2 linked regions of the Macaca mulatta genome follow. The protein of the gene in region 1 purifies or fractionates together with the protein of each later gene. This does not show direct contact. Links are inferred from orthologs where the notes say so. Each region holds a gene or a part of one and is shown on either strand. Other genes may lie near its edges. The genes, in order: DUSP10 and MAPK9.

Evidence for each region.
Region 2: the proteins of DUSP10 (region 1) and MAPK9 purify together in Homo sapiens (affinity purification with mass spectrometry; 3 studies listed by BioGRID and IntAct, with this or other methods). This does not show direct contact. The link is inferred for Macaca mulatta from reciprocal best matches to the Homo sapiens genes DUSP10 and MAPK9.

What each region holds. Positions count from the first base shown.
Region 1 is NC_133406.1:79,620,959-79,637,511, forward strand, and holds the start of DUSP10 (dual specificity protein phosphatase 10), read right to left. Parts: upstream 7,127-16,553; 5' UTR 7,033-7,126; intron 4,841-7,032; 5' UTR 4,798-4,840; coding exon 3,987-4,797; intron 1-3,986. UniProt on the Homo sapiens protein: Protein phosphatase involved in the inactivation of MAP kinases. Has a specificity for the MAPK11/MAPK12/MAPK13/MAPK14 subfamily. It preferably dephosphorylates p38.
Region 2 is NC_133411.1:189,246,568-189,262,519, forward strand, and holds the end of MAPK9 (mitogen-activated protein kinase 9), read right to left. Parts: coding exon of another isoform or gene 15,891-15,952; intron 15,550-15,890; coding exon 15,478-15,549; intron 10,750-15,477; coding exon 10,567-10,749; intron 8,803-10,566; coding exon 8,678-8,802; intron 7,681-8,677; coding exon 7,617-7,680; intron 6,028-7,616; coding exon 5,956-6,027; coding exon of another isoform or gene 5,951-5,955; intron 4,314-5,950; coding exon of another isoform or gene 4,309-4,313; coding exon 4,166-4,308; 3' UTR 1,406-4,165; downstream 1-1,405. UniProt on the Homo sapiens protein: Serine/threonine-protein kinase involved in various processes such as cell proliferation, differentiation, migration, transformation and programmed cell death.

The sequences.
Region 1 (16,553 bases):
AGAATCCTTTTCAACTAGGGAAAAGTGTGCAATCTATGATGCTCAATTCTAAGAAGTGAAATTTTACAGTATAAAGGCCTAACTCACTGCATGGTCAAATCCACCCCATGGATCATCCTCTTAAACCATTTCCCTCTTCTTCTCTCATTCCCCAGTAAAGGCCTTTGGTACAGAGCAGTCCTATAAAGATTGTAGCAGTTGGTCATTATTTGTTTTACAATAGCATAGAGCAAGTACAGGCATGGGCTCTGACATAACAGGGGAGGAAGGGGGAGACACAGACCCCAAGGAGGCACCTGGAGCCCTCCCACTCCCAGGGATGGAAGCTCCTCTGTAGACCAGACTGCCGATCAGTCACAGAGGGATTCTAGGTTGAAAAGCACTTAAAAATGGGTACATGACACTCAAGTGTTTAGGAGTGAAAATGTTGTTCTTAGTATACTATATTTCTAGCTTTCTTGAATTGGAAACATTAAGTTTAAACATTAAACATACTTAAATACATTAAAACGTTATCTATATTTTTAAATATTTCAACAGAAAAGAGAAAGCAAATAGGAAAAATAAAATTGTTTAATCTGGTTGACAGGTATATGGGTGTTCATTACACACTTTTCTGCTTTTCTATATGCTTGAAAATGTTTATAATAACATTTTTGGAGGCATGTATTGTCTTTAAGAAAAAGGGGCAGTAGACTATTTTTTCCTACCTAAGTAAATGACAAATTATTTCTCTGGATCCAGCTTTACTAAAAAGAAAGGGAGCCCAAAAATCTTGATAGCAAAAACGATAGCTCTCATTATGGATGGTCTAGCTTTCTTATTTTTAAGAATTGTTTAAAATTGTTAAAAGAATTTTAAGAATAGTTTAGCTTTCTTATTCAGTTTGACTAGAAAGCAAGTTTTAGTTGATTAAAAATCAGCTTTGAGTAAAACAGAATATAATTCTTTCAAAGACCTCACAAATCCCTAAATATTTATTCATTTGGATCATTTTCACCAAGTTGAAGGGAAGCACAGGTCTGATGCCATTTATTCTTCAGAAGATGAGACTAAAACATGGATTCTAACATAGGTCACAACAGGGAGGGCACCGTAAATTAGAACAGTAACTTAATCCCAGGGGCTGCCATGCCTCTGATCGGTTTCTTCCCAGCCTGACACAGCATTACTAAAATGGCAAGTTAGCAGCCGCTCTACTTGACAGACAGCACCAAAAATGGAGAGCATGGCATGGAGACAGGGGGACAAGGAGCTTGGACAGGGAGGGTAGCAACCAATGTTTACAAACATAAACCAGAGCATCAGATGGGCCAGCCATAAATTACCCAAGATTGTACTGAAATCTCTGAAAATAAATTAACAGGCCCTTAGAAGTTTCCTCCTTATGTTCTAACTATGCCCCCTTCCCACCAGCTTCCCTACAAAAATTACTCTTTCCAAAATGGTACCACTACCCCTGTTGCTGAAATACAATCTTATCACCAAGGGAGGGGATTACTCAAATAAATCTGAGAGGAGAAGCCAGACCAGAATTGTTGCTTGACCCACTCAAGAATTTGGGAGAAGTCTGCTGGTCATGCCTTTGGGGAATGCCCACCCCGTCTTTCACCACAATGGTGCTATGGTATTAATCACTGGTTTACCAAGTTGAAAGGATTATGAAGGACATTCTAATACTGACCCATTCCTTTCCCTTCTTTTCCATCTTGGTCCCAATTTTAGGCCGTTCTCCCAAAAGATATCAAAATGACAATGATAATTATAAAGTAGAATATAGACCCCTTCACTCCTGAACTACATATTTTCAATGAAATTCCCAGATATTTGAAGAAAAGGCCCCCAAAACTACAAATAATCTAACCTCTACCACCAGAGCGTCTTCCAAGTCGACCAACGCGGTGTCTCACCAACTCAAAAATGACGAGGCCTCGCAGTGGCTGCCCAGGGCGCCCAGTGGTGAGGTCAGCAGTGTGTCCGGCCCCGCCCCATTGAGGCAATCTTACTCTCTGACACTGAAGAACAAGCCCAGGCTGTCTGGAATCTCAGCTGCATCCACAGGAAAGGGAGAGAGGCACCCCACTTCCACCAGTAGCACCCAGGAGATTCACTTTTCAGTGACTGATGGGTCACCCCTATCCACAACTTCACCCGCTGCAAAATAGAGAGTAGAGTCTGCAACTCCTTCTAATCATCCTCATGATTAGGTCTAGGTCTAGGGTCATGATTAGGAGGTCTAGGGTCATCTTGATCCGTGTTTTTTCCTCTCCTCAAATCATGCAGACACAAAAGACTTGCTTTTAATTGTGAACACCTGCTCTGCATGAGCAAAGAGGAGATCATCAAGATCATTAGCTATCCTCCTCTTTGCTCCCCAAGACAAACTATTACAAATGGGAAATTCCCAGGTAGGATTTTCTCATTTGTAAGAGGCCAGACACACCAAGATTATAGTAAGACAATAGCAGGGTAAATATCCTGGGAATCACTCAAAGTCAACCAAACAAGAATACAGAAACAATAAAATACAGAGCTACGCAGAGGAAATCTGAACATATTTGTGACCTCAAGAAAACCCACCACCACAACCACCACCACCACCAGGAAATGCCTAGAAGCTTCTGGAACTCTCTACATACAATTCCATCATGTTCTCCTTCCCAGCAAAGCCCACCAGCTCTAAGGACAGATGTGCCTTTGTGGTAGGGGAGCCCCATGAGGACAAGTTTGAGGAGAGTGGAGGTTGGGAAAAGGAGATTGTGTCAATGGAATTCAGAACTATAGTTCCCAGAACGCTGCTTAACAAAAGGCAGAATGCCTCACTGGGAAGACAAGAAGGAGAATGGCAAAGCTGTCCCGTAGAGACAAAATAACTAACTTGCTCACCCACATGGCCTATTGCAATTTAAACATGCAATGTGTTCAAACTCAGCAACACCTTTGGTCAACACACTTTAGGAGACTGGTTGGAGATGTGACCCAGAAACTGTGTACCTTGGCTCACAACACAAAAGGAGAGAAGAAGATGACTATCTCTCACTACCACCACCAGGTAAAAGATGCCGATTGAGAGTGATGTACGGTGCCCCAAAAGTCAGTATCTGAGGGCAAAGAGGTGCAACTAGGCTGGACACAGGATGCAGGCTACTTGGGAAGGTTAGGCAACACGGTATGGACGGTGCTCCAAGAAGACTGGGTGAATACTTCCTTCTGCTGGAGCTTAGTTCCACTAATCTCAGTTATTCTGCATTCAGTATACTGGGGCAAGTGACCCACTACTCCATCTTGGTAGGAGCCATGATGCCAACTGTTGTCAGGTGAGGCCAGAAAAAAACAATGGATTGGGGAGTGTTTCATAAAAACGTCTCTGTTCCCTTGGAGCCTTGGCAGAGGAATGGATGTAATTGGTGAACTTATACCTTATATGGAACCTTAGAATAAGAAGCTCTGCCCTTCTTCAAGGTCACTTTATAAACCATATAAAAGTCAAGCTGGTCAGAAAGGTGAAAAAGAGAAAGAATTTCCCACAAAAAGAACTGGTACCTGTAGGTTTACTTGTAGTTCACCATAGTTGCTCCTTCCTCTGTTCCATCAACATTGGTTAAGTCTGAGAGACAATAACTTTCCAACTAGTGATTGACTGGAATAGAGCTAGCAGACCAGGCATGACTTGAGATACCATCTGGTGTATATAAAGCCCCTTTTTAGAAAGATGAGAAAACAGTCCCAGAGAGGTGAAATGACTTGCACAATGCAAATTAGAAGCCGAATTAAGGGTAGAACCCAGATCTTCTGGCTTCCAGTTCAGTACTGCTGGGTTTTTCTTACTAAACCAACACAATAAAGAGCATAGAAGGGAAGACAAGAATAAAGTCTATTTTGGTCTTTGGTAGCCAGGGTAAGGAGAATGCTGTCACTTCTACGAGAAAACCCAAAGTGAACCCGGCTAATCAGGACTGTGCTTGGGAAGGGAGCAGGGGCATTACCTTTCAACACCAGAGGTTCTTTGCCTTCTCTCTTCAGGGACTCGAGGACTATGTGAAGTGGCTGGGAGGGCATCACTCGGCTTGGCTCATTGGTATTCTCATCATAAACTATAATTTCTTTGGAAAAGATCCTCTTGAAAGAGTCCTTGCCTTCCCTACAGGAAATCAAGTCTAGGACAGTGATCTTGCCCTGCTGCAGTCTCCGCCGGCTGATCTTATCGGCGCAGTTAATGTGGACAGCTCCTTGGATGTGACTCTTGTTGTACTCCATGAAGGGCCTGCAGTCAATGATGACAGGGCCCTGACTCGGCAGGTGACTCTTGTTGCATTTGGTCATCTTCTTTGCCAAGTCATTGGGGTAGATTATTTTGATGCTGGCTAGCTGCTTGGGGGTCCCTGACACAGGGCTGCCCACCCCACCTGATGGACTTAAAGAGCCTGTATTCTCATTATTGTTGACCATCTGGTTAGCAGGGCAGGTGGTAGAGGTTCCGATGGCAGTGGTGGTGGTGCCAGCAGCAATGGCTTGGGTTTGGGCCTGATTGTCCTTGTCGTAGGTTGCCACAGTGCAGCAGCTGGCACTGCTGCATCCACAATTCAGGGAGCGGGCAGAGCCGCTGGATGAGGGCATATACGTCAGATTCGCAGCCTTGAGGGACACAACGGTGGTGGCGATGACAGAAGGGTGGCTGTTACTGCCTGGGGTGGCAGAACCAAGGTAGCTAGAGTCTAAACAAAGGTTGAGATCCTGAGGTCGGACGGGCCTAGATAGTGCCACTACTACCCTGTCGTCTAAAGGAGATGGAGGCATGAGGAGGCTGAAAACTGGCAATTCAAGAAGAACTCAAGACAGTCTGTAAAGAACGGGAAGGGAGAAAGAAAGGATAAAGTCACGTGACACAAAAGGCAGTCTCATCCAATCCCTAGGAAAGGCCTTTGCATCCCTCTGAGCAGTCTTCCTAATTGCCCTCTATCATACCATAATCAAAACTTGAAACTCATTTTTATGTATTCAAAGAGGATGCAAACCTGAGGGCCCCAATCAATTTGGTTGCTAAATCTAAGGTTAAATTTGGATGTAAAGTTGTAAATGTTAATGAATATTTCCTGGACCTACATAAAAGTTCAGCTGTAGAAAAGGTATAAGCACAAATAATTAGAAAAGCTGAAGACAGAAGGGAGGCTCTTAAGAGGCATCTATTCTGAACCTCAGCTCTTGCGCAGAAGTACACTGCAAACATCTGAGAAAGACCCATTTGTCCACCCTTGCATGCTTGCCAGTTAATTCCCTCACTCGCTGCAAAGGCAAAGGGGCAACCAAGAGCACTGGCATGGTTCACAGAAATGTACAGCAGCTAAATATACATCAGAGTGGATGTCAACTTTCTGCAAATCCCCTTAAGTGAATCTCTTTAACTTGGAGCTATTCTTGCCTTCCATCCTATTGGGGTCCTTTGAAACGCACAACATAGTCATATTAAAACCTCACATGTTGTCTTTTGGCCTCTTATAAATTAATCTGCATTTCCCCTTTTCACTACTAACTGGTGTCCTAAAACGAAATCTCAAGCCATGGAGCCAGATCTGGAAACCTGGAAACCCCAACCCTGGCAGATCCATCACCCTTTGCTCTCCCACCTACCCCTACCCTCATTCCTGCCTGGAAAGGACAACTTGAGCTCACCTCCCCTCTTCATCTCCCTGGCTGGCACAGACTGTGCATCCCAGAGCTTCTCTCAATGGGAGGCAGCCACGTTGTATAAGGTTCCAATCCCATACAGATATCCCCCCTTCAAGAGTACCGACTCCATAAAGAGGACCTCCCAATTAGCCTGTACCCGCTGAAAGGGGCAGTGAATTGTTGCCCACTGGATCTATCTCTGATTTCAAATATTGTCTGCAAAAAGACGGCTCCTTCCTCTTGTAGGCACAGGGACACTCTACAACCCAGGCTTGCTAACTGTTCTTCTTCTATTAGACATGCACACAGCAAAGACACCAAACCCCACGCCAAGAGTCGCTCACCTAAACGAACTTTAAGAGCTGTCTGGAAAAATATCATCATCCGTCTACACACGACCGTCACCATTCTCATCCGTCTACACACGACCGTCACCATTCTCTGACACAGAACCAAAGTGTCACAGGCGGAATCCACACTCACGCGCGCACACGGGGGCATGCACCCATCACGTCGGCAGATCTCCAACGACTCGGGTTTCTCTCACCCACCTTTGGATGGGAGCGAAGAAGCCAACCCCCTTCCCTTGCGTAGTATTTTTTTCTGAAGAGCGAGTACTATTCCAGAAGCTATAACTGTTTCCCGGTTGGACCAAGCGCTGAAAAAGTCTTCGCTATGGTGTTACCTGGTAGGACACGTCCAGGATCAACAGACCATTTATTTTGAGAGGGACGCATAAGCGTGTTCACAGAGACACACGCTGGGACCCACACCTCCACACAGAGTGCGCGGCTCACACACGCACGCACGGAGTGTATAGAGAGATCTGCATCCCTGCAGTAGAGGGTCGGGCGTATATACTGCCCGTGAAACCATTCAGTCTGGCCCAGAAAATCTCCCGGAGAAATACTGAGCTATCCCCTCTCCTTCCACCACTAGGCAAGAGCTGGAGAGAAAATTAAGTGGTTAGAGAATGCTTCTTCCCCACTCCTGGAGCACTTAACATCCCCCCGTCCCTCCGCCACCCCCCTTCACTCCTCGGCACACAGCGCACTAATGAACCCCGGGCATTTAAAACTGCCGCAAAGCATCCCAACAAACCTCATTTTTTCTTCGCCCCAAATCCAAGTAGACTGCAGAGAGAGTAAATGCACAGGGTAGCAGGAGCCAACAGCCGGAACCTTATAACCCTACCTGCTGTAGCTCCTCCGTCAGCATCGCATCTCTCTTTTTCTGTCTGTCTCTGTTTCTCACACACATACACACACACACACAAACACACACACTCACACTCACGCAAGCACCGCCTTACAATCCTCCACCTCCAGTCCCGGGCTCTCAGTAGTCGCGGTGACTTCCACTTACTTCATAAATAAGTGTAGTCCTCCACCATCTGGCGCTCCGCTTCAGCTATGGACTCTCACATTCAACCCCCATTCACTTGGCTTCATTGATCTCCAGCAGCAACATAGTTACTTTCTCTTTTGCTACACTGTAAATGTAAGGTTCTGAGGGGGCGGACTCGTCACCGACCGACGGCGCGTTGGACCAATAAGAATCCGGACAAAGCCGACCGCTACCTCACAAAGCCCCGCGACCAATGGGCAGCCTAGGGGGCGGGGAAGAAGGCGTGGCCTCATCTCTCTAAGGAGGGTTTATCCGACGCTGCTCTGGGTCCTCGGTGTTATAACACGGGCGGTGATGTCATTGGCAACCAATCAAAAACTTAAAAAGAGCCAGCCGGGGCCGCGCTGAGCAGCTGCTCTCTATTTACTTGTAAACCGAACCGGCAGGATGCAGTTAACCCTTTACCAGGCTGAAGCGTCAGCGGACTGGACGCGCCGCTCCGCTAAAACTGGCTCTTCCCACTGGACGGGATCCTCCAACACTCCCTCACCCGGGGGCAAACCACGCTGTTTTTCCTCCTTAATATGGACGGATGATCAAAAGTGTCGGAGTAACTTTCTAAAGGAAAGAGACTGCGATCACCGTCCCTAGTGGGAAAGCCAGGTTCTCTCCGCGTCGCTCGAGGTGACTTGACAAACCCTAAGCCAAAACTCGCGGACCTCGCCGGGTCTTCTGCGCTAGGACCAACGTGAGCGCGCAGGCAGGGGCGACGCTTCCGCTCCGAGCCGAGGTCCGGGGCCACGCGCTTGGGGCCAGAGCTTGGCAGCTGACAGTACCGGACAGGGAGGCCCTTCAGCCTCGACGCGGCCCGCGTCCTCCGGACAGCCCTGCTCCGCCCGGGAAGCGTCCGCCTCCCGCCGGCCCGCAGATGTCGCTGCCCCTCCGGCTGTCCCGGCCTGACCGCCGCGCGCCGCCCTCCTGCTCACCTACTTCCGCGCCCTGGTCACGCCCCTGTCGTCCCCAGACTAACTCTCCCGGGGCTCGACCCGGAGCACTAAGGCGGCGCCACTGAGGGCTGCTAGGAGGAAGAGGCCTGAGTCGACGCCAGAGGCAAGGGACGCGCCCTGAGCAGCGGTGCAGAGGCCAATCCCCTGGCCGGGCGTCCTGGGGCCCGCTACGCGCCCGCCGCCCCTCCGGGGCTTGGTCCCCCCCGCCACCTCCCCCTTTCCCACCTGGCGCGCTGGGTCCCCGCGCCGTGCCAGCCGCGCGCAGCCCACCCGCCCCACATGCCTCGGCCGACCCTCCCCCCCCCAGTCCCTCACGGCCCCTGCCGAGGCCAGGACTGCCAGCCCGGCGCTTCTGGAACAGCCGCAGCTGGGCGGAAAAGAGCCAGAGCCGAGTGCAAATAGCTAGATTGAATGGGGCCGGAGGAGCGTGGAGGAGGCGACGCCGCCTCTCCTGGCTCCCCTAACTTTGGCCGGCACCAGGTAGCTGGCCATAGCGCGCATCCCGGGAGACGACTGGGGGGCGGGGCAAGCCGCCCCGCGCCTAGTCCGGAGAATATTCGTGTTAGGGAAACTGCAGGAAAGTTGCCTTGGGATACAAAAAGAAGTGGAGATGAACAACCCCAGATGAACTGTGGAGAGTCTACGTCCAAGAACCCTAAAGAAGTAGAGCTTTTTCTTTTCTTATCTGTGAGAGGAGAGATAAAAAGTGAAATAATTATAATGGAATAATACATTATGAGCACTAGGGAATGTTGGGCTATCATTTTTCTCCCTTACTTGATTGAATGGGGTTTGGAGGTCTACTTCAGACTCCAGGCCTAATAGTATACTAAGTAGCAGGGGCATATTCATGTAATTGTTTTCAGGGCAGATCTGAAATCACCAGGTGTCAGACCCTAGCTGGCAGGTCAGCTATGCTCAATGAGCTGTGAAGAGAAATATCTTTGGGCGCTTCCACTTACATGCAGGCACATACCCCCCCAGTCCAGCTTTTCACACCAGTGTTACAACTGGCATCACGTACATCTGATAGTCTTATATAGGAGAGGATTTTCTGTAACATCTGTCGATGGAAAGAGTCAAACTCTGTAAAATATTTGAAGAGATTTATTCTGAGCCAAATATGAGTAACTACGGCCTGTGACACAGCCCTCAGGAGGTCCTCAGAACGTGCTCAAGGTGGTTGGCGTCCAGCTTGGTTTTATACATTTTAGGGAAGTATGAGACATCAATCAAATACATTTAAGAAATACATTGGTTTGGTCCAGAAAGGCTGGATAACTCTAAGGAGGGGGTGGGCTTTCTGGCTATACGTAAATTTAAACATTTTCTGGTTGACAGTTGGTTGAGTTTGTCTAAAGACTTGATATTAAAGAAAGGAATGACTGGGTTAAGATAAGAGCTTGTGGGGACCAAAGTTTTATTATGCGGATGAAGTCTCCAGGCAGCAGGTTCAGAGAGAATAGGTTGTAAAATGTTTCTTTCAGACTTAAAGTCCATGTTGATATATAATGGGGCGCATCCCACCCTCACTTCCCCTCATGGCCTGGACCAGTCTTTCAGAATAAATTTTCCAAGAGTCCTGGTTCAGAAATTAGTCCATTCAGATGGTTGCCTGGGAAGGGGGGTGAGGAGCTTAGAATTTTATTTTTGGTTTACACCTCTCTTCATCCACACACCAACACACACATCCATTCATGCTCCTGATAACAGCAGATTGCTTAGGGCACACCATTTGGTTCTTAAATGTTTGAAGATCAACAGGTTATGGTCAGGAAACTTGGATGCTGGGTAATTTCTATACAAATCAGAAAAGAACTTCCCAGAGGTTCTACCCTTGATATATCTGGAGCTGAAAGGCTGCAAGCTTACCTTTCCCTAATCGTAGACAATTATTGGAAAATTTTTCATTAACTCAGAGTTTGAGAGTTCTACGTTCTGATTCTGACTCTATCTGTTATATCTGTTCATCCAGTCTCTGTCTTCATTTATCCATAAAATGGTAATACCCCAACTTAGAAGAAAAAGGGAACTCATTCAAGTGCTTAGGGGGAAAAAAGATCCCTTGCTGATAAAAGGTATTCAGTGGAAAAAAAAATTAATTTACTTGCTTTAGGAAATAAGGTGCCTATCTTTAAAGGTATGTGTAATCTATAAATGATGAAGTAATTGCTACTGCCTTGATATCTAAGCCCAAAGTATAGATTTATATAATTGCAGAAGAGCTCTTAACAGCTTTTCCCACAAGGCCCTAAAAAGAAAAGTAATTTCAAAAAGAAAGGCAACTCTTGTAATGAGATGATTGTTTTATTACAGTTTCAAACTAGTAGATTATTATAATTTAGTTGACTAAGAATCTAAGCCATCCAGGCTGAAACATTGGGAAAGATGGCAAAATTCCTTATCATGTATCACACCTGAAACATGAATAATTACTGAAACATGGAATAATTAACAGATTGTGAATATAAGCAAAGCTGTAGTTATTTTTTAAGTTAGGCTTCTCTAAGCTTATATTCAAGTCATAAGACTGGTGAACAAAATCAGATTATAGATGGAATTTTTTTCCATTCACTACTCTTCAAAACATCTTTTGGACAAGAAGAGGTGATTTTGTTCCTGTTTTTGAGTCATAAATGTGAAAATACTACACCGAAATATACTGCCCTGAGACTTAAATTCATAATGCTAGTCAGCCAATGGCTACAAACCTGATCTGTATGTCAATAACCAGCAGCAGAGCCTTAATGTTAGTTTCAGTCCCAAAGAAACAGTGAAGCATCTTCGTTCAATTTGGATGTTGTAACGTGATTGTATTGAGTCATATCTTTGTTCCCACAAACATCATAAGAAAAATATTGACTGTTTCAGTGCAAAGTGCTGTGTATTAAAGACAAAAACTGAAGATAACTTAGGCCAACATGTAAGATATAATATGGATAGTATTAAGCAAATGTATTAATTAAATTACTTCTTTTTTGTGCACTCAAATGGTTAAGTGTGTGGGGTAATGACAGAAGGTGTGGCCTTCAAAATAATCCTCAAGGTCAAGGTAGATTTCTGGAGGTACTAGAATTAAGGCAAAGAATGGCTTGGAGAAAACTTAAAAAATAATCCAGGCTAAAGATGATATCATACTAGAAGGAGTAGGGAATAAGCTGAAGAATAGGAAAGTGGCATGGTAAGTGTTTGAGGTCATTGAGGCCAGTCTGGCAAAACATCCAACAATACTCTCCAGTCCTAGGGAAGGGCTGATTAAAAGGAGTCCCTGAAGGAAGGAGCTTCTGTGGTTTGAATGTGTTCCCCGAAAATTATATGTTGAAACCTAATTGCCAGTGTGACAGTATTAAGAGGTGAGGCCTTTAGGAGGTGGTTAACTCGTGAGGGCAGAGGCCTCATGGAAGGGATTAGGGCCATTACACAAGGGCTTCAGGGAGTGAGTGAGTTTTCTTCCATTCCCCTGTAGGGACACAACTTTCATCCTCTCTGGAGGACACAGCAACAAGGTGCTATCTTGAAAGCAGAGACTGGACCCTCACCAGGCAGTGAACCTGCAGGTGGCACCTTGATCTTGGACTTCCCAGCCTCCAGAACTCATGTGAGCAATAAATTTCTGTTCCTTACAACTTCCCCAGTCTCAGCTATTTTGTTATAGCAGCACAACTGGACTAAGACAGTGGCTACTGCAATGATGGAAACAGAGGCAGGGCCATGTGCTTGTCCCACTATCCACATGTTTGGACACAAGAGGCCTGCAGTTCTTTCCTACAAAATTCATGGGCAGGTGTGTTTGTGACTCAGGAAAAGACTCTGAGGCATTTAAGGCTCTATATCTGTATTTTCCAGTGTGGTGGTCATTTGACACATGTGTTGGCCACTCGAAGTGTGCCTAGTCTGAATTGAGGTGTGCCATAAGCTTAAAATACAAGTGGGGGCAATAGAAATGGGGGCAGAGGTGAACTGATAGAGCCTCTGTGACCACAATCTTGTTCTCCACACCTCCACACTTGACAGATGTAGATATAGGTATGGATAGATGTATGTCTTATTTGTGGGGTTCTGAAGTAAAATTTCAGTTAAAGGAAGGATCCTGGTTGGGATTTTTTTGTTGTGGTGGTTCTGGTTTTTTTGTTTGTTTGATTTTTGTTTTTTTGTTTTTGAGATGGAGTCTTGCTCTGCCACCCAGGCTGGAGTGCAGTGGCACAGTCTTGGCTCACTGCAACCCACGCCTCCCAAGATCAAGCGATTCTCCTGCTTCAGCCTCCTGAGTAGCTGGGACTACAGGCACACACTACCATGCCTGGCTAATTTTTGTACTTTTAGTAGGGATGGGGTTTCACCATGTTGGTCAGGCTAGTCTCAAACTCCTGACCCCATGATCCACCCACCTCCACCTCAGCCTCCCAAAGTGCTGGGATTATAGGCGTGAACCACCACGCCCATCCTCTGTTTTGTTTTTTAATCCTGTTCCTTTTTTTTTTTTTGTAAAGTAATTTCACTGGATGGCATGGCCAAAGCATGGGTGACCTCAGACCCCTTTTCAAGGTTCATCCTGGCCTCTACTGATCACACAGAGGTGACTGGCTGGTTAGGAGAATTAATATGCTCCCTATCTTCATTTAGGCAAGTGGATCCCTTTCAGTTTTCTCTTCCGCTTCACTGGTCCCCTATTTGTAACCCCACAAACATCTGCTGCTCTTTCTCAGAAGAGGATTCTGCCTCAGCCCAAGTGTGTGGACCATGGATGTAAACTTATTTTCTTTATAACACACATAAAACATTCACTGGCCTTGGGTCTCCAACAATGCCCTCCTCAGTGGCGGATGGCCTGTTATTATTATGTGTTGCTACATCAAAGTCTGTTAACATTTTCCTCCTCACTAAACTGAGCCATCATGTTTTATCATTACGATATGCTGTCAGCGCCAGTTTCTCAACCCCAGGAGGCTGGGTCTGACTGTGTTACTGAGGGATGAAAAGTTATAAGGTAAACATGCACGCAAAGCATTCCTAAACCCCCTCAAGAGTTGTTTCAGGTCTAACACTAAGGAATTAATCTAACGTTCTCAGCATCTCCTAGTAGGTTCACACTGTACCACTTCTACATGTAAGAAGTTCCTTTAGATGACAAAGTGCATCATAATGTACTTTATCTTTATAATTGAATGTTAACTGAACTGATTTTAAAGATCTAGAATTTGGGGAAAAATAATCATAGGTAACATTTACTAAGTGTTTTGCTGTGTGCTAAGCATTGCTGTAAGTGGTTTACATGCATTAACTCACTTAAATCTTCACAGTCACATCGATCTGTAAGTAAGTACATTTTTATTAGCTTAATTTAAAGATGAGAAAACAGAAATACAGATGGGGTAAGTAATTTGCCCAAGGTCACAAAACTAGAAAGCAGCAGAGTCAACATTTAAACCCAGACAATCTGGCACCAGAGCATCTGCTTTTAACCATTGTGTGTTGTTTCATTCACTCTTGTTGTGATTTTATAAGTTTCTATCGTGTCCCCCTCAGTCTCCAGACTGCAGTATATTTTTAATTGCCTCTTCATAAGAATTTGCTGTTTTTTTCTTTTGTTTTCTTCCAAACTTTTCTCAGTCCATTATGATGTGTATCTCCATGTGATCTCAATCTTACAACTGTAGCCTCCACATTGGGAAATGGATCCAAACCTGCACTTTATTTCCAGAATAGTCTCAAATATTGCCCTAAATCGTGTCAAAGGCATGGTTGCTACTGCAGATTGGACTGGTAAATTCAAGGAAGAGTCTATGACACCTCTATTAGCAAAACCATGTCTTATTTGCCATCCCATCCCTAGCAGGTGGCCCAGGAGCTAGCACATAGTTTGAACTCATTAAGCTTCGGTTCAGTGAGTGAGTGACTGAATGAATGAATGAACTGAGAATGTTTTTTAAACATACTGTCTTTGTCCATTCAGGCTGCTATAACAAAATATCACAAACTGAATGGCTTACAAACAACAGAAATTTATTTCTCACAGTTTGGAGGCTGAAAGTCCAAGATCAAGGTGCCAGCATGATCGGGTTCTGGTAAGGACTCTCTTGCAGGTTACAGACTATTAACTTCTGGCTGTGTCCTTGCATGGTGGAAGGTGCGAGGGGTCTCTCTAGGGCCTCTTACAAATCCCATTTGTAAGGGTTCTGCCCCCATTATCACCTTGGGCCTTAGGATTTCAACATATGAATTCGGGGGGGACACAAATATTCAGGCTGTAGCACGAACATATCTTTGAATTATTCTTTTTTCTAGAGGCATACCCTGGTCCATCTGATGATAGCTTTCCAGCTACTGATTTGGCCTTCTGTAATAGCTGGAAACTTAGAAACCTCCAAACTCCCTAAATTCAATCCTCTTTTGAATAATTTATGCAGATATTAGCCAAGTGTCTATCTCTGGGGAGATACACTGATTACACATCACTCGTTTTGTTTTGTTGTGACCATATTTCCCTCTTTATAGTTTAACTCCATTTTTCCCCCATAGAATTTAGAAAATATCAACATCTTTCTCGTTATAATCCTTCTCATTATACTCCATACCATACCTGATTTTTGTTAGGTCAGTGCTCTTTGCAGTTATAATTGTCTTTAATGCTTAGAAAAAATTCCTCTTCTTGTTCACTGAATTTCAGCAAGATGATGGTATCTTCCTTTTCTCATTCAACACCATCCTTCTTGTAATTCTCAAAAGCATGCATTTTCCATTTCCCAGTTTTATCTCCCTGACAGATGGATTGTCCAGTGTTTATTTTCTAGCACGTGACTGATGCCAATAAATAGCTTTCTTCAGAAAGGCATTTAATCAAGGACCTGAGCCTGGACATCAATGAGTTCGTGTTCCTCATGGATGTGCTCTGAAAGGAAATGACACTATTGATTCTGGGTTAGGTGGGGAGCAGCACCCCGAGAAGTCCTGTTTCTAATGCTCTGTGAACAGGCCCAGGTCCACCTGGATTTCCCACCCAGAGGAGGGTTCAGTGTTTTCCCTGGTTTACGTGGTAAATAAAGCAAACACTTTGTAATTATACTTACGACCAGCAAGGGCCACGAATGTATGAACATGATGGATGAAGTCCTTTTTGGGTGAATGTAAGCATCTATGCTATGCTAAGTACTGAGCCCACAGTACCACTCAGACAAATTAATCCAAATCAGGTCAGGTCTAGTCAATTCAAGTTATTCAACAGGTAAAATTGAATAAATTGGAATTGGCTAAAATTTTAGTTCAGTTGGAAATGTTAGAAAAGAAGGAAGTGTTATTTTTGCCATTAACTTGCAGCTCACAAAAATTTAGAATGTAAGGAAGATAAATAGATTGGATCAGAAAGTAGCTAAACAGAGAGCTGGCACTGTGCTTCATTCATCTACCAGCGCTCACCATCACAGGTACGGTGACAGAAAAACTGTCATTTTTCTACAGTAGTAAACTAAGATGTATAACTACAAGGATTCTTAGCCCCCTTCATGCTTCAGTTTGCAATTCCTATTCCCAGTAACTAGGAAAACTGATGTAACTCTATGAACCACCATTCTAAACCTTAAATTGGATTAATAATAGCAAACAGTCCAATGAAGTGTCTTTTCTATAATCTACAGAATAGAAATGCCAATAGATTTGGACTCCCTTTTCAACACAGTCCTAATCTTCATGTAATACATGAGTCCTCCCGAATATGGATTAGAGGAGTTAAAGACTTAGACGTTTTAACTCATCAAGATTGCCCAGCATATTAAAGGAGGACTGAAAGAAGTAAGGTAGGCAGGCAAAAAGAACAGTGGGCTGGTTGGGTTTTTTGTTTTGTTTTGTTTTGTTTTGTTTTTGCTTTTGTTTTAAAATTTAGTTTGTATTTTGACTCCAGGATTGGGAAGGGTGACTCTGGGCAAAGAGAAGACAAGGAGTGGACAAGTAGAGGGAATTTTGCTATTTCCAGAAATTTACAATTTCACAAGCTATTAAATAGAACAGGATCTGGTTACAGATGGGTTGTTGAATGTTTGCTGGCAAAAAAAAAAATTGATATTACTAAAACTCATTCTGATTGACTTCAGCAGACACTGGGCCCCACCACCCAGGATAAGAAAGAACGAATAGGGCTGTCCCTTTTGGTGCATGTTAAGGAACGCTGCACTAGCTTAGACAGGAGCCAACTGCTTTTGTACAGTTGAGGGATGTCAAGCACACACCTGGGGCCCCTCTCTTTAAACCCAGGAGAACCTCAAAGACAAGTTCCGCAAGTCTCATGGTATGAGGAGTAGTTTGTGCCTCTCACTGTGTGGATGCAGAACTTTTCCCTTTGTATGTTTAAGCTAGTGCAGTCTTCCTTTCTGATGGTTGATTCTGTGGCCAACTTGAATGGATCATGGCATATGTGGTCAAGTGTTATTCTGCTTGTTTCTGTGAAGGTGTTTGTTTCTGTTAGGGTGTTTTTGAATGAGATTAACATGTAAAGGGGTGGACTTTGAGTAAAGCAGATTACCCTCCATAATTTGGGTGGGC
Region 2 (15,952 bases), on another chromosome or scaffold:
AAGAAAAGGAAAAGAAAGGAAAAGAAAAGAAAAGAAAGGGGCTATTCACATGGTATCCACTGGGGTCCAGGGCTCCTCTGAAAGCTTGGCAAAAATTCTGTGCTTATGGCGTTTTTCTTGGGAGAAGGTAACAGATGTCAGCAGATTCTCAAAAGTGTTTATGACTAAAAGAGGAGAGTGAGATTTGCAAGAACGCGCTGCCCACGGGGTCAGGGCAGACCCACCGCTCCTTCTTGGTGCTGTGAGGTGCCCTTCTTTCTCGGGCGTAAGGCTTTCTCACTGTTGTAGGGTGGGGGGTTAGACAGAATGATTCTGGATTTCCCTTCCAACTCTAAACACCATGGAGGAGAACTGAGGCAGCAAACACTCGTGCTCACAGTGACCCTCGGGAACCACGGCCTTGGTCGTTCTAACTGCAGAAGAGCATGTGGTCTCCAGGCCTTGAGGACTCAGCCTGTGACCAGCTCCCAAGGGCTGAGACATGCATCTCCCTTATATAATGGCTACGTTCAGCTGCAAGCAGATGTGACTGACCACTCTGTCACTGTTATTACTGATTTTGTTACCAATTTTCCTGATTAAAACAATATCGAAGAACTGCCTTATTGACAAAGGTAACCACCTTATGCTTAAATTCACATAAGTAGCCACAGAATCTTCCAGATAACGCAAGTAGCTAATTATGACGTTATTTTGAAATACGGGCACTCTCCTTCCTCCCTGAAAAGCCCCACCCCACCTACGTGTATTACTTCAGTCGATAAATAAAAAGCATTTCAGTGCTGCCTACAGTGAAAGAGGGAAGAGGGAACAGGACAGAGAAATGGAACCCAGACCCAGACCCCAGTATCTCAAGAAACAGCTTCCTTCTCGCGAGACCTTTACAAACACAGCTGACACGCATCTCTCTGGAATGATTCTAGTCCTTTTAAGCAGACAAAGGAAATTGAGCCACTGAGTGTCCTTCTCCTCCTGTGGTATTAAGTACTGAAGCCTAAAGTGCTTCAAAAACACACGTCAGATGAACTTGGCTCATCCCTTGCAAAGCCACAAGCACCATGAACGACGTTAAGTCATACGACTAAGGCTGACTGGCGGATTCTCCTGGCCACGCCTCATGAGAAAACAATTACACCAATACTCTGAACCGTGCTTGTGTATTGGTGACGTCAAAACTTACCGCCATTAGTTTTGAAAACACAGATTTAGGAGTTTGCAGAATATTTTCAATAAGAGAACAAACAGCAATGTTTCTGCCTTTCATGTGAAACCTCTTGCTAATATTGATCAAAAGCATGATGCTTTATCATCTATCTGTTTCATGTTAAATCTGTCATCAGAGATGGTGATGGAGAAATTATCTAATTGTCATTTAAAAACACACAAAAATTGGACATGCTATACATTTATCTTTTAAAATGTAGTCTGTATTATTTTCACCAACCAAAACACACATAATATATTTTATTATAAAACATTAGGCAATGTTACTTTTGAGATATGCAATCCGAAAGGTCACATTTGTATTTATTACCAGAAGAGTTACATTAGAAATCAACCAGACAGACTCGTACGTCGTTATCGTGACTTACACAGCATGAAATGCGGGTTGAAGCAGCACCCACTTAGTGTTTTGGACACGGACCTGGTGTGGGCATTCCCCTCTCCGCACTGGGGCTCTGCGTCTCACATCTCAAAGACCAGAGCAGAGCCCTGTGTCCACTCCAGGCCCACGGCTGACACAGTGTGCACAGCCAGTGTTTCTAGACTCTCTCCTGCTCTGACAGAACTCGTTCTCCGGACTCTGCACTTGAAATTACAACCTGAACATGGGGGAGACAGTCATTTCCTTCTTGACTGAAAACCAAGTCAACAAATGAAACAAACCTAGTCTAAATTCCAGGATAATAATAAATTACCTGGTTTATAAAAATACATGTCCAAAATAGTTACTTCCCGGGTTGTGTACAATATAAATTACAAAAATAAAATAGAAAAGATGAAAAGTTGAGCACATTTTTCAGTTCTTTAACCAACACCAGCATTTTTCCATAGAGATCAGTGTGAAACCATGTGTGTGGCACCAAGACCCTGGCAAATCTAGGCTCAGGAGGGAGAGCCCTGAAGCTGGGAGAGGTATTTCTGTGGAGCCCTGTGGCCTGTCCTGGGCACACTCGCCTCTACCTGGTGGAAGACGGCCTTTCCAGGAAACCCTCCGCGCCGTCCGGGCTCCATCTGTGGCAAGTGGCTCGCAGAGTCACAGCCGAGCGAGCGAGCAGAAGGGCACCTGCGGGGGCCTCGTCCCTGTCCACGTCTCCCGAGGAGGGAGCATCACACAGTGCGGGGCAACTCGTGCATTTTCAACCTCTCCCTTTTGTTTTTCCTTTTAAAGATAGATTTAGTGAAGTCTTTTAAAAGAATGTGTATTACAGAGAAGATAGATAAGACAGCCATACAATAGGTATTTCTGCCTCAATCCAAGTTATTATTACCATTTTGTATTTGAAAGTGTCTAAATGACAATATAAAAGAACTATTTCTTATTTCAATATTAGTTTTGCTAATCAAGGGTTCCAGTTTCCAGTGATTCGACCAACCGACAGGACATAACGGGTGCAGAGAGAGCCATGCACTTTAGATCATATCTAGAACCCACTTTCTCATCACAGTTCCTCCTCAGAACACAGTCTAAAGAATGTTGACTGAAAAGCTTCCAAAATAATTGAACACAAGATATGAATCAGCAAGAAAATAAGCTCAAGGGAAAAACACGGGCACAGGCAGCAAAATGTGATCGTCATAGCTCCGTTTCTGCAGTGACACTTAACACACTCGGTATCTGAATGAGTTCTGAATCATTTACTTATCGGAAAGTCTCAAAGTATCAATTTCAGGTGAGCAGTTTTAAATCAGAAAATATTCAATGGTTAATCATTACTCTTTAAGTATTTCCTTCATATCCTCTGAAGAGTTTCCCAGAACATTCACGGGTTTCCCTTGTGAAAAGGAATGCCCCCAAACAATGGAAAGCAATAGCAAAAAACAGGCATCTGAATCAGCCTGGCCTCTGAAAACAGACCAAAGAGGAATTTATCCGCTTTCTTCCAGTGAAGAAAGAAAATCAAGAACATGGTATTGGCAGAGGGAAAGTGAATGAGGGAAGGTAAGTAAAGGACCCAGGTCAGTCTCTGGCAAAGGAAGCACTGAGGGAATGACTGCAGTGGTCTCTAGGGACCATTCTGTAAGATTCTACTCCAGCGTTAGGCCATGGATGCAGGAATCTATCTGCCATCATCTTATTAAGAGGGAGTGTTACACGCCTAACAAAGAAGGTGAAGTTCTAGGTAGAATTTTAAATTCATAGTAAGTCTAGAAGACTAAGAAGAAAGAGATAAGGTAGCTAGGATTTCAAGCAGCACTAAGCAAAACTTAAAATTTTATCGTGCAGTAAAGCTGAATGTACAATCATCCCAGACAAGACAGTTTAAAGAAAACAAGATGTCCACATGAGTGTCTTGGTTTTAGCCGTGATAATTCTCAGCCCCAAACATCACAAATTTAAGAAAAGCTATATATTTTTATTTATTAAATAGATTTAATTAATATGTCTTCTGAAATACAAAAGATAGAATAAATCATAGCACAAAAGGGAATAAGATATGATAACATCATGACGGCCAATTAATACACATAAATCAACCTTTTCTGGACAGACACCAAATTACTTAAGAAGATTAAGAGATAACTTCAGAAGCAGCACTACCTGGGAGATTATTTGGCATTTAAATACTGATTTCCAAAGTGCTAGATGGGCAAGTCCAAGCAAGCATCTGTGGTCACATGCACACACCTCTCAACAGTTACGGATGATGAGAAACTGTCACTATTACAGCTTGAAACAACCTCACCTACTCTAACTGCTCACCTGAAATGATCTTGAACAAAATCTCTACAAGTGTGGCTTGCACTTTTTTTCTTCAGACATATTCTGCCTCATTTTATCATCTAAGCAGGCAATCCTATTAGATCTGAGTAGGGGCAAGGCATTGTGTTTCGTACATGCAGAACATGGAGTTTTCTATTTGGTTCCATCAACTCCCAAGCATTTCAGGCCCATGGAGGTGAGAGTTCCTTCAATGATGACAGGTTTGCTATTTCTAACTTATCATCGACAACCTTCAAGGGGTCCCGTCGAGGCATCAAGACTGCTGTCTGTGTCTGAGGCCAGTGTCTGCTCAGTGGACATGGATGAAATGTCATTGATAGATGAAGACTGAGAAGGAGTGGCGTTGCTACTTACTGCTGCATCTGTGCTAAGAAAACCAAATATAATAAAATCTGAGGCACGACATTGCTGCAAATCCAGGCAACGAGACTTCAGGCCATTTCTCGGCTCTGTCCTTTTGCAGTTTCCCAACCCTAACTATGAGCATAAACAAGAAGTTAGTCAGCTGGACTTTCTGAACTTTTCCTTGAGTCTTTCTTTGGGCCCAGAGTCCCATATTCCTATGTCTTTCCTTGCAAGATTCTTCTTTTCTTCTCAGTGGCTAAACATATATGTGGCCATGTATAATCATGTTAGCTACTTAAAAAATAACCGCTGCTTTCAAGCAGACATCAAAAGGAAACAGCTATATTTATCTGAAAATGCAGTATCACAAAAGCTTAAGCCTGAATTGAATTCAAGTGTCACCAGACATTTGAATTATAACAATTTATAACATAAACACTAAATCTACAGAAAAGAAAGCATCAACATTCAAATAAATCTTTTGCAATAAAGACTATATACTAGAAAAAGGAAAAAAATTAGTGGCCTCGTATTTTTTATTGTTTTGTACCTCCAGAAAACTGACATTTTAATCTTTTAAAGCAAATGAAACTATTCTACTTCCTACTATCTATATTTTAGTCTGGTGTGAATAAAAATACAACATGCAGACTCTCTGAGATCGACGTCTGCAGTCATAAATTCGTGCTTAGTTAACAAGCACTTAAGTTCTTGCTGAAGTTATATAATCTCTAGATGCTTGACACATACGTCATGTTGAATATAAAATTCAAGAATAAAAAGTAAGCTGTGCTCTCTGCACATCCCCACGCGTGTGTGCTTTCCAGTGGGAGTGGGAGAGAGACAATAAATATAACTTGAGCGTTTCATTTAGTAAACGGGAAGAATCCTGCAGACGTAAGTGAATACCACTAATATCAGAGTCTCTCATAATCGTACAACCACCCGGTCAGCAGGCTTCCACCACTATCAAGATCGGCAGATCAAGTAGAAAAATGGGAGAATGATATGAACAATTTTCTCAAGAGAAAACCAAATTCCATTTTACTTAGATTGGCATTTTGGGTGGGTTATCAACGTTGAAAAGGCTTTAAATTCCATTTCATCTGTAAATGGACGTGACAGCAATCGTTGCAAAGATGAAAGAGAAATGTTTATAAGGAAGTTCAGTGCCTGGCACATCAGTAAAATGCCATCCACCACCCCCTTCACTATGACAAGCCAAAAAGGGTGGCTATTCATACAGTGGTTTTTAAATCTGATGCTAGCCAGGCTGGCGTTTCAAACATGCTGCTGCCATTTATAAAAGATGAATAGGGAAAGAGGCCAGGTGCAGTGGCTCACGCCTGTAATCCCACCACTTTGGGAGGCTGAAGCGGGCGGATCACGAGGTCAGGAGATCAAGACCAGCTTGGTCAATACAGTGAAACCCCGTTTCTACTAAAAATACAAAAATTAGCCGGGCGTGGTGGCACGTGCCTGTAATCCCAGCTACTTGGGAGGCTGAGGCAGGAGAATCACTTGAACCCAGGAGGTGGAGGTTGCAGTGAGCAGAGATCATTCCACTGTACTCCAGCCTGGGTGACAGAGTGAGACTGTCTCAAAAAAGAAAAGCTGAATAAGGTAAGAAAAATATCATACAATCAATTAAAACAATCACTAACCTGAAGGCTGATCTTTTACAACACCATTCTTGCTTCTTTCTTCCCAATCCATGACTTCTTTGTAAATTAGCTCTTTAATAAAAATACAAGTTAAAATGCTTAATCAGTTTCTAAACAGTTTCATTGTATCTCTAAACTCTGCTTCCAAATCAACTGGAACCACTCCAAAGGCACTCCGATGTGTTATTTTTAATTGTAAGATAAGAGTCAATTCAGTAATATAGTCTAAGTGGACCAAAATATTCATGTTTTGATACATTATATCTTTTCTTTTCTTTCTTTCTTTGGGTTTTTTTTTTTTTTTTTTTTTTTTTTTTCTGAGACAGTTTCATGCTGTCATCCAGGCTGGAGTGCAGTGGCACAGTCTTGGCTCACTGCAACCGCTACCTCCTGGATGCCTCAGCCATCCAAGTGGCTGGGATTACAGGTGTTCACCACCATGCCTGGCTAATTTTTATAGTTTTTGTAGAGATGGGGTTTCGCTACGTTGGCTAGGCTTGTCTTGAATTCCTGGCCTCAAGCCGTCTGCCCGCCTGGGCCTCCCACAGTGCTGGGATCACGGGTGTGAGCCACTGCGCCTGGACTACATCCCATCTTTTCCATGCAGCAGTAAGGGAGCAAAACGTGGGGTGGTTCTGGACCCACAAGGGGCTGTATGAAGTGGACTGGCTCCCACAGAACACTGTAAGGGACTGGATACTCTCACATCCATTTCAATATGCTTCTCTACGTAGTTACTTGGGGTTTTCCAAAGGTAGCCGGCATCCACATGTGGGCTAGGAACCCCCGACACTGGCCAGAAATGAATCCACACGCCTAAGTCTTTTCCTTGTTTCAACTTCAACTTTCATTTGTAAGAAAAACTAATTACCTACTAAGTAAGTGATTAGGGATTCCTAAAATGTCAGTATTCATAAACCAGCACTAGCGCGTTGCAACCATTTCCGGAGGCCAGTGAGTGTGCTGTGAGCATGCACTGCTGAGCTCACACAGGCAACCGGCACTCCAGGAGGGCCCCGGGGCAGGACCCACCCTCAGTGCTGACTCACTCTGACTGTGGTTCTCAGTTACTACTGATGCCGCTTCTTAATGAAGAACTGTCAGGCCGACCTCTTCATTATAGGTGCAGTTTGTTGTGGGTGGTCTGGTTAATCTTACAGTGGTAATAATACCTATTTGCATATTTTCAATCTGCAGTTTCCCCCAAACTAGATTTTAAAACGTATGTACAACTACACGGCTTAAAAAAAGCAGGCAGAAGTTCACATGACCCCCAGCCCTGGCTCCCCATATCTGCACACACTGGGAATTCTATAGGTAACATGCAGCCTGTGAACTGGTGTCACCTGAAATTTGCAACATGTTATCAATGTAAGTGTGATGCAATTACTAAGCTCAGTTTACAAACCGATATGTGAAAAGCCATGAAAAAAATGCTATTTTTCCCTCTTGAAGCAAATGATAAGAAATTGATACATGTTCCTCTCTAACTCTGTTCTCTTCAAGTCCTTTTTCTACTGGAAACTGGGGAGAAAGAGGCTAAGTGGGTCGCAGCATTTCTTGCCCCTTCCTGAAGGGAAATGTCACAAAATGAAAAGCCTCTGCTTTACAGGACTGGAAGAAATGTCCTAAGGAAGGATCAAAATAAGCTCCATCTTTACCTTTCCATTCTTCAATTGCATGTTCTCTTTCTTCCAACTGGGCATCATAAATCTGAGGTGGTGGCTAAAAATTAAATCATATGTAAAGTCAATAGTAATGCCTCAAAAAAAATGAGGCACTAAAAAAGGTAAAATCGCTTGGAAGACTTCTAGTCTATTTATGATATGGATTTAGTTTAATTCAACACATGGTTTAATAAAGATTTGTCATGCAATATTGGATCAGCTTTGGGATCAAAATAATTATGAAAAAGTTAACCAAAAAAGAGTTACTATGTTCCTCTTAATAATCACCTGACCTCAAAACACAGACATCTGCCCATCACAGGCTGTTTCCCGAGACCCATCATGGACAAGGCATTGTGCAGGCAGCTATGGAAGGTACTGCTGTTTCTTAGAACAAATTTTACATGTTCTTCATGTGAGAACTCCCAAACCCAAAGTCCAACTCATAAATGGACTGTTACAAAAGTCTGCTTATAAATTGGATTCTTTTTATATAAAACAACGTTTAAACTGATGGCAAAACCACAGGCCATGCCATAAACATGTGTGTCACTCATGGCACGAAGGAAGCCCGCCACTACGCAGTGATCTCCCTCACAGCTAAAGCTCACTCACACCAGCGCTGACACAGAAACACGCACGTGAGCACCGAACTCAGAGTGGAGCTCCTCCAGCGGGAGAGCCAGGAGGCACAAGGCCTTTAGGGAAGGATACACAGACGTGTGATTTTTCAGCAAGCTGCTCAGCCTCTCTGGTTGAGTGGCCTAAACAAGAGGATGTAACCAAAGCCAATGGCACAGAACAGATGCTTAATAAACTATGAGCTCACAGCAGCCTTTGCAAAATGGAGACTGGTATCACCAAAGCGTAAGTTCATTCCTGAGGTCCTCCGAGCAAAGCGGCCCAGGCCTCAGACAGCACTTGGCCTTTTTGTAACTGGGAGCCCCAGATGGAGAACTTGCTACCCATATGTAGCCGCTCTGGACGAGCAGACAAGATCCAAGGAAATACAAGCCCGGCCTCCACATACAAGTCTTTTCAAAACAGATACTCACTGCCTCTGCTTCGGCCGGGTCATACCAGACAGTGATGTACGGGTGACGCAGAGCTTCGTCTACAGAGATCCGCTTGTCAGGATCAATCACTAGCATTTTCGATAACAGATCTCTGGCTTGACTGGCTAGGGTGACAACAAAGATTAGATTAATACACTAATGCTTTTAATATGAAACAAAGAGAATCATACAATAAAGAACTAAATACGACAGCACAGACAGAACAAAGATGTATTAATTTTGAGAAACGTTTGATAGGTTCAAGATGAATATAACACAAATTTTTTTTTTTTTTTTTTTGAGACAGAGTCTCGCTCTGTCGCCCAGGCTGGAGTGCAGTGGCGCAATCTCGGCTCACTGCAAGCTCCGCCTCCCGGGTTCACACCATTCTCCTGCCTCAGCCTCCCGAGTAGCTGGGACTACAGGCGCCCGCCACCCCGCCCGGCTAATTTTTTGTATTTTTTTAGTAGAGATGGGGTTTCACTATGTTAGCCAGGATGGTCTCGATCTCTTGACCTCATGATCTGCCTGCCTCGGCCTCCCAAAGTGCTGGGATTACAGGCATGAGCCACCGCGCCTGGCCATAACCCAAACATTTTTAAGAAAAAGTCAGATGGCCACTTTCATGACAAACCAGGTTTCCAAATGTGGTTTTACGCCTCTGGATCTGCGAGGGGAAGAGAAACCTGGGCCCCCAGGGTGGTGGGGAAGAGCACCAGGCAGCCTCAGACCAATGTCTGGGCAGGGCCCAAGGCTGGGAAACCACAGCAAGGAAGGTGGCAATTGCCGAGCTGCGGGTGGCACTGCCCAGGGTGTGGGCATGAGGCACGGGGGAGTATTTTTCTCTAAGTCACATCAAAATGAAATTAGAACAGACTTTTTAAACCGTGCAACAATCTCACATTCCCACAGGATGAAACACTCACAGATGCTTCTGGCTGGCCTAGCTGTATACAGTGCTGGCAACTTACAGTTTTTTTTTTTTTTTTTTAATCTACAGATTGGTATTTAGAAAAAAAAAAAACAAAAACAAGTTCAATAACTTAGTTAAATATAAGGATCACCTAGGTTTTGGCAATTGAAGTTCACAACCTGAGTAAGCACAGGAATGACTGAGGGTTTTCTGATTAAGGCACAGTTTACCTTAATTTTTTTTTTTTTTTATTGAGACGGAGTCTCGCTCTGTTGCCCAGGCTGGAGTGCAGTGGCGTAATCTCGACTCACTGCAAGCTCCGCCTCCCGGGTTCAGGCCATTCTCCTGCCTCAGCCTCCCGAGTAGCTGGGACTACAGGCGCCGCCACCACGCCCGGCTAATTTTTTGTCTTTTTAGTAGAGACGGGGTTTCACCGGGTTCGCCAGGATGGTCTCGATCTCCTGACCTCGTGATCCGCCCGCCTCGGCCTCCCAAAGTGCTGGGATTACAGGCGTGAGCCACCGCGCCCGGCCCAGTTTACCTTAATCTTAATGTGGACAGAAGAAAATCTCTTCTTTCTCCTTAAGCAATCACACCGTAGTAAAGGCTGCAGGAGGAGGTGGGGAGGACCTTTTCTACCGAGTGACTGTCACATGGCTCCGACTCTAGAATCTGCATTCAAGGGTTCTTTTCACCTGAAAACTTTGTGAATTCCAGTTGCTGTAACTGTAACAAGATTCTTTCAGACTGATTTGATGATTTTTATTTTGGCCAAAGGCTTCAATTAAGCCATGTTATGGAGGATAAAGCTTCCAGACCTTTAAGCTTTCTCTCCTCAGTGCCTTCATACCTCAGACTTCTGGCCTAAAATGACTTTCTCTCCCAAAACTCACAGGTTTTTAGAATACAAACATGAAAGACTGAAAGCGCCACCTGAATTACAAAACACAAGTCTAAGAAAAAAAGGGTATCTTACTTTTTATTTTGTCTCGCTCAGACTCTGATGGGAATATCCAGTCTGGAAAGAGTTCTTCGAATTTGATTCCAGGATACTTTGGTCTGTTTTCTACATAATTCCTCACAGTCGGCTGCAGTTTCTTCATGAACTCTGCTGATGGTGTTCCAAGCTGCTCAATAACTTTATTCCACTGATCAATATCTAAGGAGTCTCTTGAGGAAAATACAACTGGAGTGCCTCGTATTCACAGCACATGCAGCAGCGTTTGACTCATCTTTACACCTATCGGCTAGGCCACCCCACCGGATCAGCAGCAGAATTTCCAAATAATATTCAAATAAGGTTTGGGTTTCCAAGTTACACTATTTTTAAAAACTCTTCCACTCTGCATCTTCATAAACTATGACACAGCTTATTAAATCAACACAATGAAGTCTACACACCTGCCCACTCTAGTTCAAAATAAAGTTGATCTTTTAACTAAGAATACCTATGGCAAAAATGATTAAACATGAAACTAGATAAACATTACATCAGCAAATTGAAATCAGTTTTCATACTAATGCTACCTTAGATTCATTCACAGCTCTCTGAAGAACAGAGGATCTCGAGGGACCTGTGAGAGACCTGTCTGACCTCCTCACTTTACAGCCGGGGAACCAACCAACTGGGCTTAGACTGAGCCCACTGACAGCTTTCAAACGATACTCTGCTTTACTTGGAATTGACTCTTCCCAACCATCACTGCCAATACCGAGGTAATGCATTTTATTTCCTTTCAAAGTGCATGACCTGGGTTTCAGACTCAACTCTGCATTCAACACTCACAGTGTGTCAGGAAAGTCAAGCTTCCTTAGGGGTCCATTTCCTTCTTTGCTCAATGCAGACATTACCAGCTTTGCCTGTTCCACAGGGTGCTTGTTAGGCTTGGGATAATTAGGATTACATGTGGGAAAGTGATACTGGAACCGTACTCAACTATACAAGAGAATGCAAGCGAGAAAAAAACAGCATCAACAGCAGCTTCAAAAAGTGCTCACTGAGGCATGTCTTAGAAAAATGAACTTACATGACCATGAAATAACCTAGGGAACCGGTACATGAACTCAGTTCTTCCAAAATGTTATACTTCCAAAGACCTGCTCAGGAAATGGGTTTCTGGCCTTCAATTCACTAGCAAATTCTCCTTCTTACTCCTGTTTCATACATGTTGTCAAATCAGAATTATGTCCACATTTTATTTACCTATTTAGCCAAAATGTGAAAACTGTTCTCACACTTTTTCCTTCTGCCATATATAATACACACACACACACACACACACACATACACATACATATATATATATATAGTCTCGTTCTGTTGCCCAGGCTGGAGTGCAGTAGCACGATCTCGGCTCACTGCAACCTCCACCTCCCGGGCTCCAGTGATTCTCCTGCCTCAGCCTCCCAAGTAGCTGGGACTACAGGCACCTGCCATCACGACCGGCTAATTTTTGTATTTTTAGCAGAGATGGGGTTTTGCCATGTTGGCCAGGCTGGTCTTGAACTCCTGGCCTCAAGTGATCTGCCTGCCTCGGCCTCCCAAAGTGCTGGGATTATATAGGTGTTAGCCACCGCGCCTGGCCCGCCTTATACTTTTGATACCTCTTCTGTATGCTCACTCCCACAGACTCCCCAGGATGCACCCACCCAGCATCTGTGTGCCATTTGCCACACAGCAACCAACTGGGCTCCCGGCTACACCTAGCCTGCCCAGCTCTAGACTAACCCTCGTGCTTACCCAAGGAAGAGCTCCCTCAACTCTTCCTTCTCCAACATCATCAACGTTTTACACTCTACCAGTACATTCCATCACGTTGGTAACTGACAGTGTTTTCTCCTGTGTTAACATAGTAGCTGCCTGCTTTTGGCCCCCACTACCTATTGCTCTATCTTATTCCTATTTGCAGCAAAACTTCCATAAAGAGCTGTCGGTCGGGCGTGGTGGGTCACACCTGTAATCCCAGCACTTGGGGAAGCCAAGGCAGGTGGATCACAAGGTCAGGAGTTCAAGACCAGCTGGGCCAAGACGGTGAAACCCCAGCCCTACTAAAAATACAAAAATTAGCTGGGCGTAGTGGCGGGCACCTGTAATCCCAGCTACTCGGGAGGCTGAGGTAGAGAATTGCTTGAACCCAGGTGGTGGAGGCTGCAGTGAGCCGAGATCACACCACTGCCCTCCAGCTTGGACAACGGAGTGAGACTCTGTCTCCAAAAAAAAAAAAAAAAAGAGCTGCCTATACTTGTGTCTCTAATTCCCAGCCTCTCATTTTCTCTCAAACATACTCCCATCAGGCTTTCTTCCCTCCACTCCATAAATGCTGTGCCCATCATGGCTGCCAGCAGCCATCACGAAGCCCAGTGGCCAGTCCTCTGTCCTCATCTCATGTGAATGACCCTCCCTCTGTCACCACGCTCTAGGAGGAGGGGTCGCTGGAGTGCCTTCTCCATTTCCTTCCCTATTCCCTTTGTCCCTCCACCTCAATGGGGCTAAGTCCTGGGTCCTGGTCTCTTCCTCCCCTGCAAGCGCTTGCTACCAGTCCTAGGCTTCAAGGCTACCAACAGATGGATGACACCCACTTTGATCTCTCTATCCCAGACCTTGCCCCTGAATTCCACTGTCTAACAGACATCTCCAAACCCTAGCAAGGCTCCTTGAAGGGTCCAACTTCAAAGCAGAGTACAAGCCCATCTCCCTGGCCGCACCCTCCCAGCCTGCGGGGGGCCTCCACCTCCATCTCCCCGGCCGCACCCTCCCAGCCTGCTGGGGGCCTCCGCCTCTCCTCTGGATGATGGCAGCCTCTGCTCTGGTCTCCTGCTCTGCCCTGCCCTTGATGATCCAGCCTCAATTTAGCAGCTGGGAGGAGCCTCTTTGCATCTAAGTCAGACTAGGCACCCAGAAATGGGCAGGTGAGAGAAATATCTGCTGGATTAATGATAAAGGACTAGAAATTAAACCAGTTGTGGGAGAAGCCCCACAGATTCCCTGAGAGGCCTGCACCCCAGCATCCCACAGATGGGAGGGACAGGGGACAGATGGGAGGGCTGGGGGAAGGGGAACAGTAATTCCAGCAAGCTCAGTGGACCCTGTTGTCTAATTTTCGTGAAGCTGCAGGCAGACTGCAGGTCTCCTATTTTACAGAAGGGGAAACCAAGGCTCAGAGAGGCCCTAAATTTCTCAAGAATGCTTGGCTGCCGAGGGGAGGAGTCTGAGCTGGAGCCCGAGGTAGCCTGGCGAAAGCTTTCTCTTTCTCATAGGTCACCACAGGGACAGGAGTTCCTTTTCTACCCCAGGTCACACATTAAAGCAAATCTCTGAGACCCTCAGTCTGATTTCTGCAACTTTTTTCTATCTCCCAAATTTCAATCTAATACTTGAAAGAGCTGGCAAAATTTTCTTTAGAAAAATGATGTTAAATTGTGTGTGACTTTTGGGAATAACAAGGTAACCTTATAGATAACACCATTAATTACTGACATTAATATTAATATGTAAAGCAGGAATTTTAAGTTACTTACTAAAATGCACCAAAAAGTACTCACATTTTTCATTTTTGTACTTTTTGAAGAAAACATTTCTTAATAAAACAAGGAATGGCACAAAATGAATAAGAATTGAGACAAACTGAACATTAAGTATATATTTCTAAATTATTAGTCTCTTAATTCCTCAACTTTCCCTTTTTAATTAAGTTCACTTGCAAAATAAAGACTTCCTTATTTATAGGTTGAAACAAGTGAATCTGAGGTAAGGCTATAGAAACTGCTAGAAAATTTACTAGAACAAATAAAATATTTAACTTGACATATAATCTATGATACAGAAAATGTAAAGAAAAGTAAATAAAATGAGAGGAATAAAAATATTTTCATTTCAAGTTTGCATTGTGAAGAATTTATGTTATAAGGAGACCACTCTGATGAACTTATTAAAATCTGAAATTTTCTTCCTAAGATACACACAAAACACTGACCACAGAGCTCGCTTTCCTTAAAAGCAGCCATCAATCTGCCCAAGGATGGAGACCAATTTCAACTTTTGTAACGAAAACAAAGCCAAAGACTAATGAAAAACTAAGTGGTTAAAACACAAATGAAAAAGGGAAGATGTGAAGAACCATGTTAGGGTAAAAAATACTAAGGATGGAAGAATGGCAAATGAGGAAAGAAGGCTATCGTAACAATTAGTTATTCTCCTTTCTGCTGTATATCTAACACGACTTGCTGACTACAGTATGAGTTTATCTCTTTCATTTTACATGTATTTTGACTTCCCCAGTGTGTCACAAAATAACCCACCAGATTTTTTTTTAAATTCTACAAAATGTCAGCACAGTAACAAACAAGAAAGTTTAACATATTGTTCCTCACAAAATTTTCATTTTAATCTCTTTCACTTAGGTCTTTTATAATGTGCTTCAGTTCTTACTTTGGGGGAAAATATTTCAATGCATACCAGTAACTAACAAAATAGTACTTAATTAAAGCACACAAGTACATGAGTCTATTAAATTTAGATAGCATCTTTCCTAGTTAAATGGGATAAACTAAATAATACAGTATTTTCATTTAAATATCAGAATATACTTATCAAAGAGTAAATAATTTCTTCTATATGTCCAGCTATTTTTGGTAAAATTAAGCTAATATAATTGATTTAACTTAACTCTAACTCTCAAAATCATCACAGGTAATCAAGTTAAAAATAAAGAATAAAATTGAACCACTTGGTTTGTGACGCTAATTAACAAATATAGTCAAGCCCCCCTTAGAACACAGTCTGGCGTGGTTACGACATTGTCCTCGTGAGCGCCCGTGTAAGCAGGTGGTCATGCTGCCTGAGGCATTATGGAAAGCATGGCGGGGCCAAGGTCGCGGGGAAGGATACGGTCAGTGCCTTGGAATATCACACAACCTTTCACCAGCTCTCCCATGATGCAACCCACTGACCAGATATCAACTGAAAATAAAATGAAATGATAAAATTATGAAGTGTCATGAACAAAACAAAGGTGAGGAAAAGGAATTCTAACAGTGCACTAAACACACAAATATGGAAAAATAAATTGCTAGCTAAGGGTGAAATTTTACACAATATGAATGATTGCTGACCTCTAGTTTAGCCTTCAGTTTGTAGCAATCTGGGGTTTTAGTGCCAAAGAGTCCAATACTTTATAGCTTAAAACAAACAAACAAACAAAAAACCAGAAACAAGAAGTGCCTGTGAACACAAAGCTTTTCAGGGTCACATGCCCACCCCCAGCCTCTATGGCCAAGTGCCAGGTCCCCCGTGAAGGATACAGTCTCTTCCTGGGAACAGGACTTTATGGAGGACCATTTCTGCCATGATGCACCCGACAGAC